Linked DNA regions of Schizosaccharomyces pombe. The protein of the gene in region 2 purifies or fractionates together with the protein of the main gene of each other region. This does not show direct contact. Each region holds a gene or a part of one and is shown on either strand. Other genes may lie near its edges.

Region 1 (5,576 bases), 550 kb from region 2:
GGTTTAGTAGCCTCATAACCAGTTCCTTTGGTAAATTCCTCAGTACGGGCGGAACCTGTATTAGACATTGCAAAGAATCTCACGTTTAATCTTTGCAGAAATTTCTCTAGATGAGTTTTATGACTGAACGAAAATTGGCAGAGCCAAAATGAATGGTGAATTCCCAATCCTTCTTATTGACTGTTAACTCAAAAGGGTTGACTAATGATAATGACTATTCAATTCTTCAATGCTAATAGTTTCCTTTAAATTCAAGTAACCTAGCAAATACACACTCACTTCTAGGCGTGGTGGTACATTGATCTGACGAGAATGAAATCATCGTCAGAATGAAGTCCTTACAGAAAATTTCTAACACCAACATCACAATTCATGGTTGCTGATATGGTTGAAACTAATTCATAGTTGACTGTGTTCTAGAAATTCGACTTGGTTTTCTTGTACAGACATTCAGTATATCTTCGGCCAACTTTATTCACTAATAAATGCTATCTTCGAAAAAAAATCATTCTTAAACAGTCTCATTACATGCACTATCGTAACTGCAGATTTTTTCACTGTAAACGATTGCCTAAAAAATGCAGTTAAATTATAAAATTCAAATGCTTGGTATAGGTTGAAGAATAACAATGCATTTATTGCAGCAATGGAAATTGCAATAAAACCAATTATGTGTTACTATACATTACTAAGATTATTCAGGATATGTACATGATCAAGCTGTAAAACCATTTTTCATTAAGTATAGAGATTGAGCATACACCAAAGTGGTAAGGCTACCTAGAACTGAAATAAACGATACAATTGTTCCAGGACAGTGACTTTTTACAGCAACTGAAAAGGAAGCAATAGTAAAATATCAGGTTAATAGGTTCATCATTGCTCAAACATTAGTCTATCAATCAGACAGTAACTTAATAAAAAAATCCAGTGAGCGATTTATACAGGTGAATTTTAAATGCCACAATTTCGTTATTCTTTATAGCAGACGAATCATGAAAGCGCAGTTTTTTCTGCTTCGGCGTCATCGGCTGATGCAACTGGTGAACCGCTTTTCTCGGTCCTCTGCATAGCTCTTTGTTGAACTTGCTCTTGATAAGTATTAGAAAATCTATCTGTAGCTAAATCAACCAGATTGTTAGTGGCCCGTTCCAAAACCATCTTCGCAGGCCAAATTAAGCCAGAAATATATAAACCATAAACCACAGTACCTCCAAACATAAGGATCATAAAAACGAATGGATTGCGGAGAATAGCCATAAATTCATTCCAACCAAGGACTATTAGCAATACCCAAAAGTATGGGGGGATTCTGGTGGTTGTATTGATTACGGAACGTTTGCAGTCCATAAATATCAAATCCGCAGATCTCTTGAAATTAACAGATATGTCGGACACACGTCTACGATTTAGAATAGTAAAAAATGAAGCTGGCGAGGTATACTCTGGCTCCAAAGTCTTTATGTCAACGTTCAAGTCCGGATAATTGCCATCCGAAACTTTAATAGAGGCCAAAACGTTGATCAAGTCTAACGTTTTGGTTAAACTTTCCCGATAATCACGGTCAATCGTTCCCGACTTCTTCCACAATTTTGGCATCCCATCACTGTCATATCGAAATAGTTCTTCAAAATAAACTCGTAAACGCTGCTGTAGTAAAACCTCGCTCATTTCAGAATCAATTTTCTTTCTAAAAAACAGCCAACTGTTCTTTTTAAAATTGATAATATATTCTTCCGTTGTTTTAGTATCATCAATATCCACATAAAAAGGAACAATATTTTTTATTTTTTCAATAGTAGTATTTTGAGCAGCTAAGAATTCATTGAGAAGCGTATCCCAAACGTTATGAGAAAGTTTTTGGAAAGCGACCTCAACAGCTTCCGAAACTTCAAACTCGAACCCAGTAAACAACTCTTCCAACTTCTCTTTCAACTTTTCCTTACAAAGCGTTTCGGAATTTTGGGTTAACTCTTCCGATAATTTTAGAATAAATGGATCAACATCCCAGTGAACATGTGGTAAAGACAAAGATTCACCTTCCTCACGCATTTTGTTGACAAGTTCGTTAATTTTAATAGAAGATGATTCTTTAAAAGGCGTATCAGAGGGAAATTCATTTGAGGCGTCAAAAAATGATTTAATAAGCTCCTTGTGTAGAGCGTTCAACTGGGCTTGGAAAAATACATAAAGATGAGAATCTACCGAAGCAATAAGCTCCTGCTTTTTCTTTTGATAGATATGCACGTTGTATCTACTAGCCTGTCGATCATAAGCTTCGATAACAGTTTCAAACATGTTTAAGAGCTTGGTAGGAAGGTCCTTGCATAAATTACCGGGTAAAAACTCTTTTTGTAAAATAGTACAAGCAGTAGAAAAAGGTTCCATTACTTCAGTAATAATCTCATCGCAACGATATTGAGCAAGCAATTGCTGTTGTGTAGGTAAATCAAGGTCCTTGTTGTTTTCAATGGTGTCCCATATCTCACGAGTATAAAGAGAAAAACCATCAGCGGGGATTTTTTTATGATAACTCACATTAAATATGTAATCAGAATTATTGTTATCCACAAATCTTTCACGCAAACTATCAACAGCTTCACTGAAAGCATCAGAACATAAAATCTTATGTGGTAAACCAGTGAAGCCAACATCAAAAAAGTCATTAATTACGGAATTTTCGAATCCTTCTGGTTTCGAAAGGGATGCCCAAATGTTATTCAAATCGGTCATAATAGTATCTGCTAAATTTTCCATTGAAGTATTTCCCAAAAAATCCCGAATAACAAATTGAAGCAAGCACCTTTCTTTTTTGTTATGAAAAAGTTGTAAATTGACTTCTAGTACTGTTTTAAGTAATGCCATGTTTGAGCCTTGGTATAGACCAACCTGATTTTCCCACATATTAACGATAATTACTTCACTAGTTGAAATGGAAAATAAAGCTGATTTTCTTTCAAAATCCTAGGTTGGTTAGTAATGACTCCAAAAGAAAATATTGATCAATTATGAGTAAAGGAAATACTAATGTGTAACTAATAGTAACAAATTAGTTCGCATTAAAATCTTACCTGATCTTCACCGCGCTCTCTACCATCGGTGCCTTCTACATCCATTACAAGAATAGGCGAATTGTTTGCCTTCGACAACCAAATACCTAACAAAAATTAGCAGCAAGCTCAGATGTTTTAATTAAAAAGAAATAATAGATTTACCTTTAGTAGTTTGTTGCCTTTTGGAAGCATCCATTACTGAAAATGAAGTCCCAAATAAATTATTTAGCAATGTACCTAATCATAGAGTTAATCAAATTTGCTCAGTGAAAGCTTTAAGTATCCAATTTAAAAGGATGTTATAACATTGGTTGGATATAGAACTCTCAAGTTGATTTTAATCTACTTACTCTTGCCAGTAGATTGGGAACCCAAAACGGCAACAACATGATAGTTGAAACCAGCATCTAACAGTCCTACGCTTTGCATAAACTTTGGTAATTCATTGTTGAATTGTTTATGTTCATCCACAATTTGTGTGGAAACCCTATTGGAAGCAGTACTCATGTTTTGGTGTAAGCGGAAGACAAGTTAACAAACATATAAGGTAGTGTGATGTCGAGGATGTAATATATCCTGACAACATTTTCAGTATTCATTAACAAATATATAACTATTTAAGTTAAATTATTGTAAAAAGACAGGTTTTGCATAATTTTGTTTATATAAATATCATGAAACAGATGATACTTTTCCTATAGTAAACTAGCAATGGCATAACAACACTCGTTAGCTCTTCCTTTCTAATGTTTACTAAGTTACTCTGCGAATGTTCAGATGTTTGTCTGTTAGCTCCATATATTTTCTTGTTAAAATTATGATTTTTAAAGAAAGAAAATACCAAGGATTTAGTTGAAGAAAGGAATGTATTTTAAAGAGTCATTCGGCCATTGTTTTGAATCTTTTCACAATGGTCTTCAAAGACTTATCGCATTTACAGACAGGAAATTTGTGCTTTTCTAAAAAGGAAACAGATTTGTATGTTTACAGAGAACAGTACTTAATAATAGGTATTAGATGCAAAATCAAGAGTGTAGCTTAAACGTTTCTCAAAAGCGCTTCGTAGTATTCGACGATATCGGTTTCATTCAATTTGTGAAGTGTTTTTGACGTTGCCGAATATGCTAAAAAAGTACAAACATACTATAATATAGCCCTTCGCAAGGTTGGAAATTATTTAATTTAATAAAATTTCTAGCATAGCTTTAGGAATCGAATTCTTTGTACTAATGTCTCACTATCCTATGCAACCTTCTTTCATTGACACGATGCGCAATTCAACCCATCGTTATGAGTACTTTATATAGGTGCGTAAAATAGTTAAAATCCTTTCTCATGGATTTTCTTCCTTAGTTTAGCTAAGAACAAAGGAGAATGGCTTGGGGAAAACGCGTTGTCTCCGCCACGCGTAAATATTATATATAAATGTTTGATGCTACATCGCGCTTTTACTATTTTCCTCACACATCGCAATTGTAGCAAATGGCTAAGGCGAAAGAAGTAAAAGCGAAACCTATTAAAGGAGAGGAAGGTATAATATTGACAAAAGGCATTGGTATTCAGCTAATCAATCGCAGCTGAAAAACTTGTTTACGAGTATTTACGAAAAACGAATCGTCCCTATTCTGCAAGTAAGAACATACATTAAAAAAATCGAAGCTGACAATTTTGTTAAAAGCTGACGTTAGTGCTAATTTGAAAAATGTTGTCAGTAAACAGGTCGCGCAGAAAGCATTGGAGCAGCTACGCGACACTGGACTAATCCATGGGAAACTATATGGTACTGAAAAATTAGTTAAACAGATTACTAACGATTACTGAGGAAAACAAAGTGTGTTCGTTTGTCTTCAAGATGACTTGGCAGCTGCTACTCCTGAAGAATTGGCTGAAATGGAGAAGCAAATTCAAGAACTAAAAGATGAGGTTTCAGTTGTTAAAACTCTATACAAAGAGAAATGCATTGGTCAGTAAATAAATGCTATTCTTTAAAATGTAGAATGATACTTCACATAATATGCATGATTTAAAACAGATCAAAGTTTTATTGATGGTATCGTTCATTTGTTTTGAGCGTACACAGCACTTGTTTTATGCTAACTCTAAAAGAATTACAAGCTTTAAATAACTCACTCAGTCCAGCCGAAATTCGTGAAAAAATTCAGAGCATTGATAAAGAAATTGAAGAAACCAGCTCAAAACTCGAATCTCTTCGAAATGGTACCGTTAAACAAATTTCCAAGGAAGCAATGCAAAAGACTGATAAAAACTACGATTTTGCAAAAAAAGGATTCTCAAACAGAAAGAAAATGTTTTATGATTTATGGCATTTAATTACTGATTCCTTGGAAAACCCTAAGCAGTTATGGGAAAAACTGGGATTTGAAACGGAGGGACCAATTGACTTAAACTAAAAACTTAACTTTAAATTTAGCTGATCCCTTTTTAACATTTTAATCATTAAATTTATATAGCTCAAAGAAAAGTCATTATCCATAGTTAAATATAAATACCTTAGCAGACAAC
Region 2 (5,371 bases):
ACAAGCTATGCTGTACAACAAATGTCTTTATAAATGAGAGCTATTTTTACGATAATCAATTTACCTTTAGTACTTTCATATCCTCAAGATATAAAGTTATCAGTGTAGGTTGCTAATAATTAAAATCTGCTTGTAAAAATATTTGAACCAGAGGAGTCAATACTAGTGTAAAAATGTAGCTGCTTACAAATACTTCCAGCCTGCCGTTTAACGATTTACCACGAGTTATGAATTGCTCGTAAATTTATGCGGGTTGTTGTAAATTGACAATATTAAAATTGAAGTTCTCGAAAATGTTTTATTATATTGTACTTGGTAGACCATTTCATTAACTTCTTATTTGTTCTAAAGGAAATACTTGGGAAGACGCTACGTGCGGTGCTGTTATGAGGTTTTTGTAGTATATTCAATAATGTTAACTACACCTATGAATTTATGCAATTTATACAGATTTTTTTTAATAGTTTGTAGAAATTTTTTTGTAATTGACATAACTATTCAGCTGGATTTTGCAAAACTGTTCTATCTATTCTCACACACACGCCCACTGAATACTACCTAACATAGTGTCGAACTTAACTTCTTGATTGTACATATCTTAATGTCACAGCCTTTGCCTCCTGGATGGACTGAACATAAAGGTAAATTTAATGAGCAGTTTATTTGCTAACTCATAGCACCCAGTGGGATTCCTTATTACTGGAATGCCGAGTTAAAAAAAAGCACTTACCAGCGCCCAAGTTTCATTGAGAAAAACCATTCATCTTCTGTTACTGCTTCGCAAGCTTCTTTGGCGTTTAACACAAGCGAAAAGCTGTTTGTTAATGAAAATGCTGAAGAGCGCAAAAATTCTCGAGATTTGAGGAAACAATTACCGGACAGACCAAAATTCAAGTATGTGAGGCGTAAAATTTTGTTATTAACTTTTTTTTTAGAAAAAGAATTCCTAATAATGATTCATGGGTGGTTGTTTTTACTAAGAAAAATCGGTATTTCTTTCACAATTTAAAAAGCCATGAATCATATTGGGAACCTCCTTTGGAAATTAGTAAAGACTTGAAGATATTACGTCTTCCGATACGGAAGCAAATCAGTAAAGATTCCTCACAGAGTCAGAACGTTGATAGTGGTAAAACCAACCACGAAGAAATACATGAATCTAGGCATTTACAAACAGAGATTGAAGAGCCCTCTGGTTTAGAAGAATCATCGGAGGAATCCGTTTTATATTCTGAAGAATTTTATGAAAAATCTGATGAAGAAGAGGATGAGGAAAAATCACACTCCGCTGAAGAGTTGGAGTTTGGTGAGGAAGATATTATGTATCAACTTCAACAATTGGATGATGAAACAGTTTCCTATGATATACAGGAACAAGCTACAAATTTATCTACTGATGATGCTAGAAGAGTATTTACTGAACTTTTGAAGGACAAAAACATCGGGGCATACCAACCGTGGGAACTAGTTTATCCAAAGTTATTAGACGATGATCGTTTTTACGTATTAGATTCGGGAGAGAGACGAAAAGAGGTGTTTGAGGAATATTGCAAGTCGGTGGTTTCTACCAAAAAAATTACGCGTAGAAAAAATACCTTATCGGATTTTTGGACTTTGCTTCATTCACTTCCATCTACCTTGCTATGGCCTCAATTTAAACGTAAATATAGAAAGTCGTCGACTCTTCAAATTCCAGGATATTCGGAACGTGATTTTGAGAAACTTTTCCGTGAGTTTCAGATTCTACGAAAACAGCCTATGCAGGACAAACTGTTAAATTTTAAAAAGCTATGCAAGTCAAAAACTGTAGATCCTAAAAACCCCGACGAATTCACAGAAAGCATACTTAATGACACACGATATGCCGTACTGACGCGTGAAGAACTGGATTCCTTGGCTTGTTCAAGTAATTAATGAATTTTTTATTAAATAGGTGCTTAGAGAATTTCTCATTTATTAATTTATTTGGAAAAAAATTATTTTTTTTCGCGTACTCTTTTAAGCAAGTAGTTTGTCGACGGGTGAGTTTCTTTGTTTACCATCTACTACAATTATGAAATTTCATCCGACGCGTCCTTTGGGTTATATTTCGAGTTTTTTATTATTATTTCTTTTTTCTTTACTAGTGAGTCTACCGGAGATGTAGAATCATTTATGAAATATTCGAATGTGGCCTTTTCCGAGGGGTTAGCCGGTTTTGATTCTTTAGCTCACGTATATCAAGCACTCTTGAAAAAATCCACTTGCTATCAGGAAGTTGCTGCAACTTTAATTTCCAAATGTAGCTTATTGAATACTGAGTTGACTATCGATAATCGAATTCACTCAGCCATTCAAATGACTCTTTGCGATTTTGAACGGTCTCAAATTTTGGCTCCTTCAGAATGCGTTCGTGGCTCGCAAAGTGAATGTGTATCGAAGTTGGAGTCAACTTCTACCTGGTGGCTTTCATTCACTAGTCACTTTCATGATGTAAATCACTTATGCCGGTTAGCAAATCTGGAAATGCAAAAAGGTAAACTTTAAATAAACTCTAACAAACTAACAATATAACAAGAATTATCAATCGAGGTGAATATGAATGTAACTCTTGTGCAAAAGCAATTTTTGGAAATGGTAATTTTGCATTTGCGAAACTTTGAGAGCGTGACAGATAAAATGAATCAACGTATTGATAAGTTTGATGGAAAATTTAATTCAGTTATCGAAAATTCTTTCAAAGATATCAACTTTCGTGTCAACCAAGAAATTATGGGCTTAGTCGAATTGCAAAACCATCAACAGGAAGGAATGGTACAACAAAAAGAAATACTAAGTACAATCAAACAACTAAAATCGGAAATATTTGATATAAACTCCTTTTTCGCTAATTTTATTGAAGAAAGTGCTGGTTATTCCAATAGTTTAATTGAAAAATTGAATGAAAAGTTTACCTCAGAAAATGCAATTGCTCTTTCCGCTATCGGCAAATATACCAGTGAGTTCTCTGCTTTTATGGAAAAAAGGATAAAAAATTTAATTACTACAACCGAGGATTCATTACAGCAATCAGTGCAATCCAACATCGATTTTGTTAACTCAGGTTTTCAACCGTTATACGATCTTACAATTCAATTGAAAGAGGAGCTTCAATCATTGAAACGTTTATCCTCTGAGCAACAGGTTAGTTTTACTTAATGGTTTTTATATTCATCGTTATTGCTTTGTCTAACAGTACTGTATAGAATTTGCAACACGAACAGATACTTCAATGGAAGTCAGACTTCTTAAATGTCAGTAAAGATCACCTTAAGGTACTTCAACAGTTAAGGCCTCTTATTGACATTGTTGAGAAGTTTATGAATGTATATTTTAAAGGATTGTCCAACATTATTAGCAGTTTTGCTTTTATAGGCTTCACGCTGTTCGCTACCTTAAGCAGTTTATTTTTCAAAGTTTTAAAAATACATCGCCGACCGATTATTGTATTCGGCTCCTTATCAATAATCTTTATTCATATTTACTGCTTTAAGATTACCTCATGGGTGAATCTTTACGGATGGATCACTTGCACTATTGCGCGAACTCTCTCGTTTATTAAATTAAATATCCGTACTTTCTATCTGACAGCATTTTTATGTGCTTTATTAAATTTTCTGCGATATCTAAAATACCGAAATTCCAAAAAAGATACGGAGCTATCTCTTTTCCTTCCAGCACCAGAGGAGTGCAATATATATCATAATGAACATATTCAAGTTCAAGAAGACAATTATCTATGCCCAATAGAAAACTCGTTAATCGACCTCTTTGGCTCTGAAAATAATAAGGAAAAACTGGGCAAACAGGAAAATGTTAGGTTTGCTTTCCTGAATAGTGAAAGTTTGGAGCAATCTCCATGGTGGGATTAGTCATCTTTCTAATTCGAATTAATAAATTCTACATCTTAAGAATCTTTTTTACTCGTTTTCATTCACATGACATCAAAGCGTGATGTGAACGAGCATTTCGACTTAGAGCAATTACCGATACCTGTATGATATGGTAGAAAATTTTAGGCGCATAAAAAATGTCAACGTGTATGACTATGTTTGAGTTAAAACAATTGAAGATTAATCCCTATGAAATACAAAACTCCTTGTTCATTATTTCCTAAAGTGGTGAACTATTACTATCAATATTTAGAGGACATTAAGTCATTTTCATGAACAATCATGCGATACATAAATCTGAACACCTGTTCCATCACCTTCTTCAACATCAATTTATTCAACTAATTGAAATGGATTAAACTTACTAAAAATATCTTATATTCAAACTTTTTGCAAATCGTTCTCTCTGTCATCACCTTAGCAAAAACCTTATTATACTAAGTAAGAAAATAACCGAAAAAGTCGAAGGCAAATAATTTTCTTCTTAATTGAAGTGGTACTAAAGGTTTTTGTGATCCAAACGATTATAATATGTTACGTAACGTTGACAAAAACAGTAGTTTACGAAATGGTTTATCTAGATTCTTCAGTGAATGTGAAATACTAGCTTAACGCCTGTCGTCAATTGCTTGACCATTTATCCCGTTTGTTCATTCATGCTACACACATGAGGACATAACGTAATTATAGCGGTTAGAACTCGCAAAATTCCTACATATATATACTACCCGTCTAGTTCATATTTTTTCCAAGGCTTTTATTTATCAACTAAAAAGATTTTAATTTGAAAATGGATTATCATATTGCGATTCTGAACGCAGATACACCAATGGTAGAAATCACCAGCGCATACGGTGATTATGCAGATATGGTTAAATCGTTGCTTCAATCAGGTTCCGAATATTATTCTACAGAATGGAACTTAGTTACCAAAACTTACGAGGTATATAAGAATCCAAACGATTATCCTCAAAAAGAAGATTTTCCAAATATAAACGCAATCATTATAACCGGCTCCAAAGCATCTGCAACAAGCGACGCTCCTTGGATAAAGAAATTGATAAGCTTTGTGAAAGACGTTTTATTTAAATACCCACATATTAAAATTGTAGGTCTCTGTTTTGGTCATCAAATCGTTGCCAAAGCTGCCGGCGTTCCTATTATTCAAAATCCTAAAGGATGGGAAGTTTCTTCTACTGTTGTTCAACTTACTGAAAACGGGGAGAAGTTCTTTGGTAGAAAAGTCATCAATATTAACCAAATGCATCAAGACATGGCAGTTGATGTTCCCGAAGGGTTTGAGCTATTGGGTTCTACTGAAGATTGTGAATTTCAAATATTTTACAAGCCTCGACAGGCACTAACATTTCAAGGACATCCAGAGTTTAGCACAGAAGTTGTCAATACGATGGTAAAAGTTCTCCGCGGAACTGAAGTATTTACCGAACAGCAAAAAGAAG

The links.
Region 1: the proteins of tht1 (region 2) and sey1 purify together in Schizosaccharomyces pombe (affinity purification with western blotting, with the first as the bait; one study listed by BioGRID). This does not show direct contact.

Annotation. Positions count from the first base shown.
Region 1 is NC_003424.3:973,174-978,749, forward strand, and holds sey1 (GTP-binding protein Sey1), read right to left. Parts: upstream 3,566-5,576; 5' UTR 3,561-3,565; coding exon 3,404-3,560; exon of another isoform or gene 3,362-3,403; intron 3,291-3,361; coding exon 3,216-3,290; intron 3,158-3,215; coding exon 3,072-3,157; intron 2,965-3,071; coding exon 994-2,964; 3' UTR 670-993; downstream 1-669. Other genes in the region: SPOM_SPAC222.13C (6-phosphofructo-2-kinase), read right to left, coding at 1-68; meu13 (homologous-pairing protein 2), read left to right, coding at 4,536-4,584, 4,631-4,684, 4,732-4,833, 4,876-5,016, 5,160-5,464.
Region 2 is NC_003424.3:425,429-430,799, forward strand, and holds tht1 (nuclear membrane protein Tht1), read left to right. Parts: upstream 1-2,044; 5' UTR 2,045-2,154; coding exon 2,155-2,515; exon of another isoform or gene 2,516-2,557; coding exon 2,558-3,162; intron 3,163-3,224; coding exon 3,225-3,890; 3' UTR 3,891-4,693; downstream 4,694-5,371. Other genes in the region: splicing-associated factor Dre4, read left to right, coding at 602-641, 678-894, 936-1,914; SPOM_SPAC13C5.04 (amidotransferase), read left to right, coding at 4,702-5,371. UniProt on the Schizosaccharomyces pombe protein: Required for nuclear membrane fusion during karyogamy.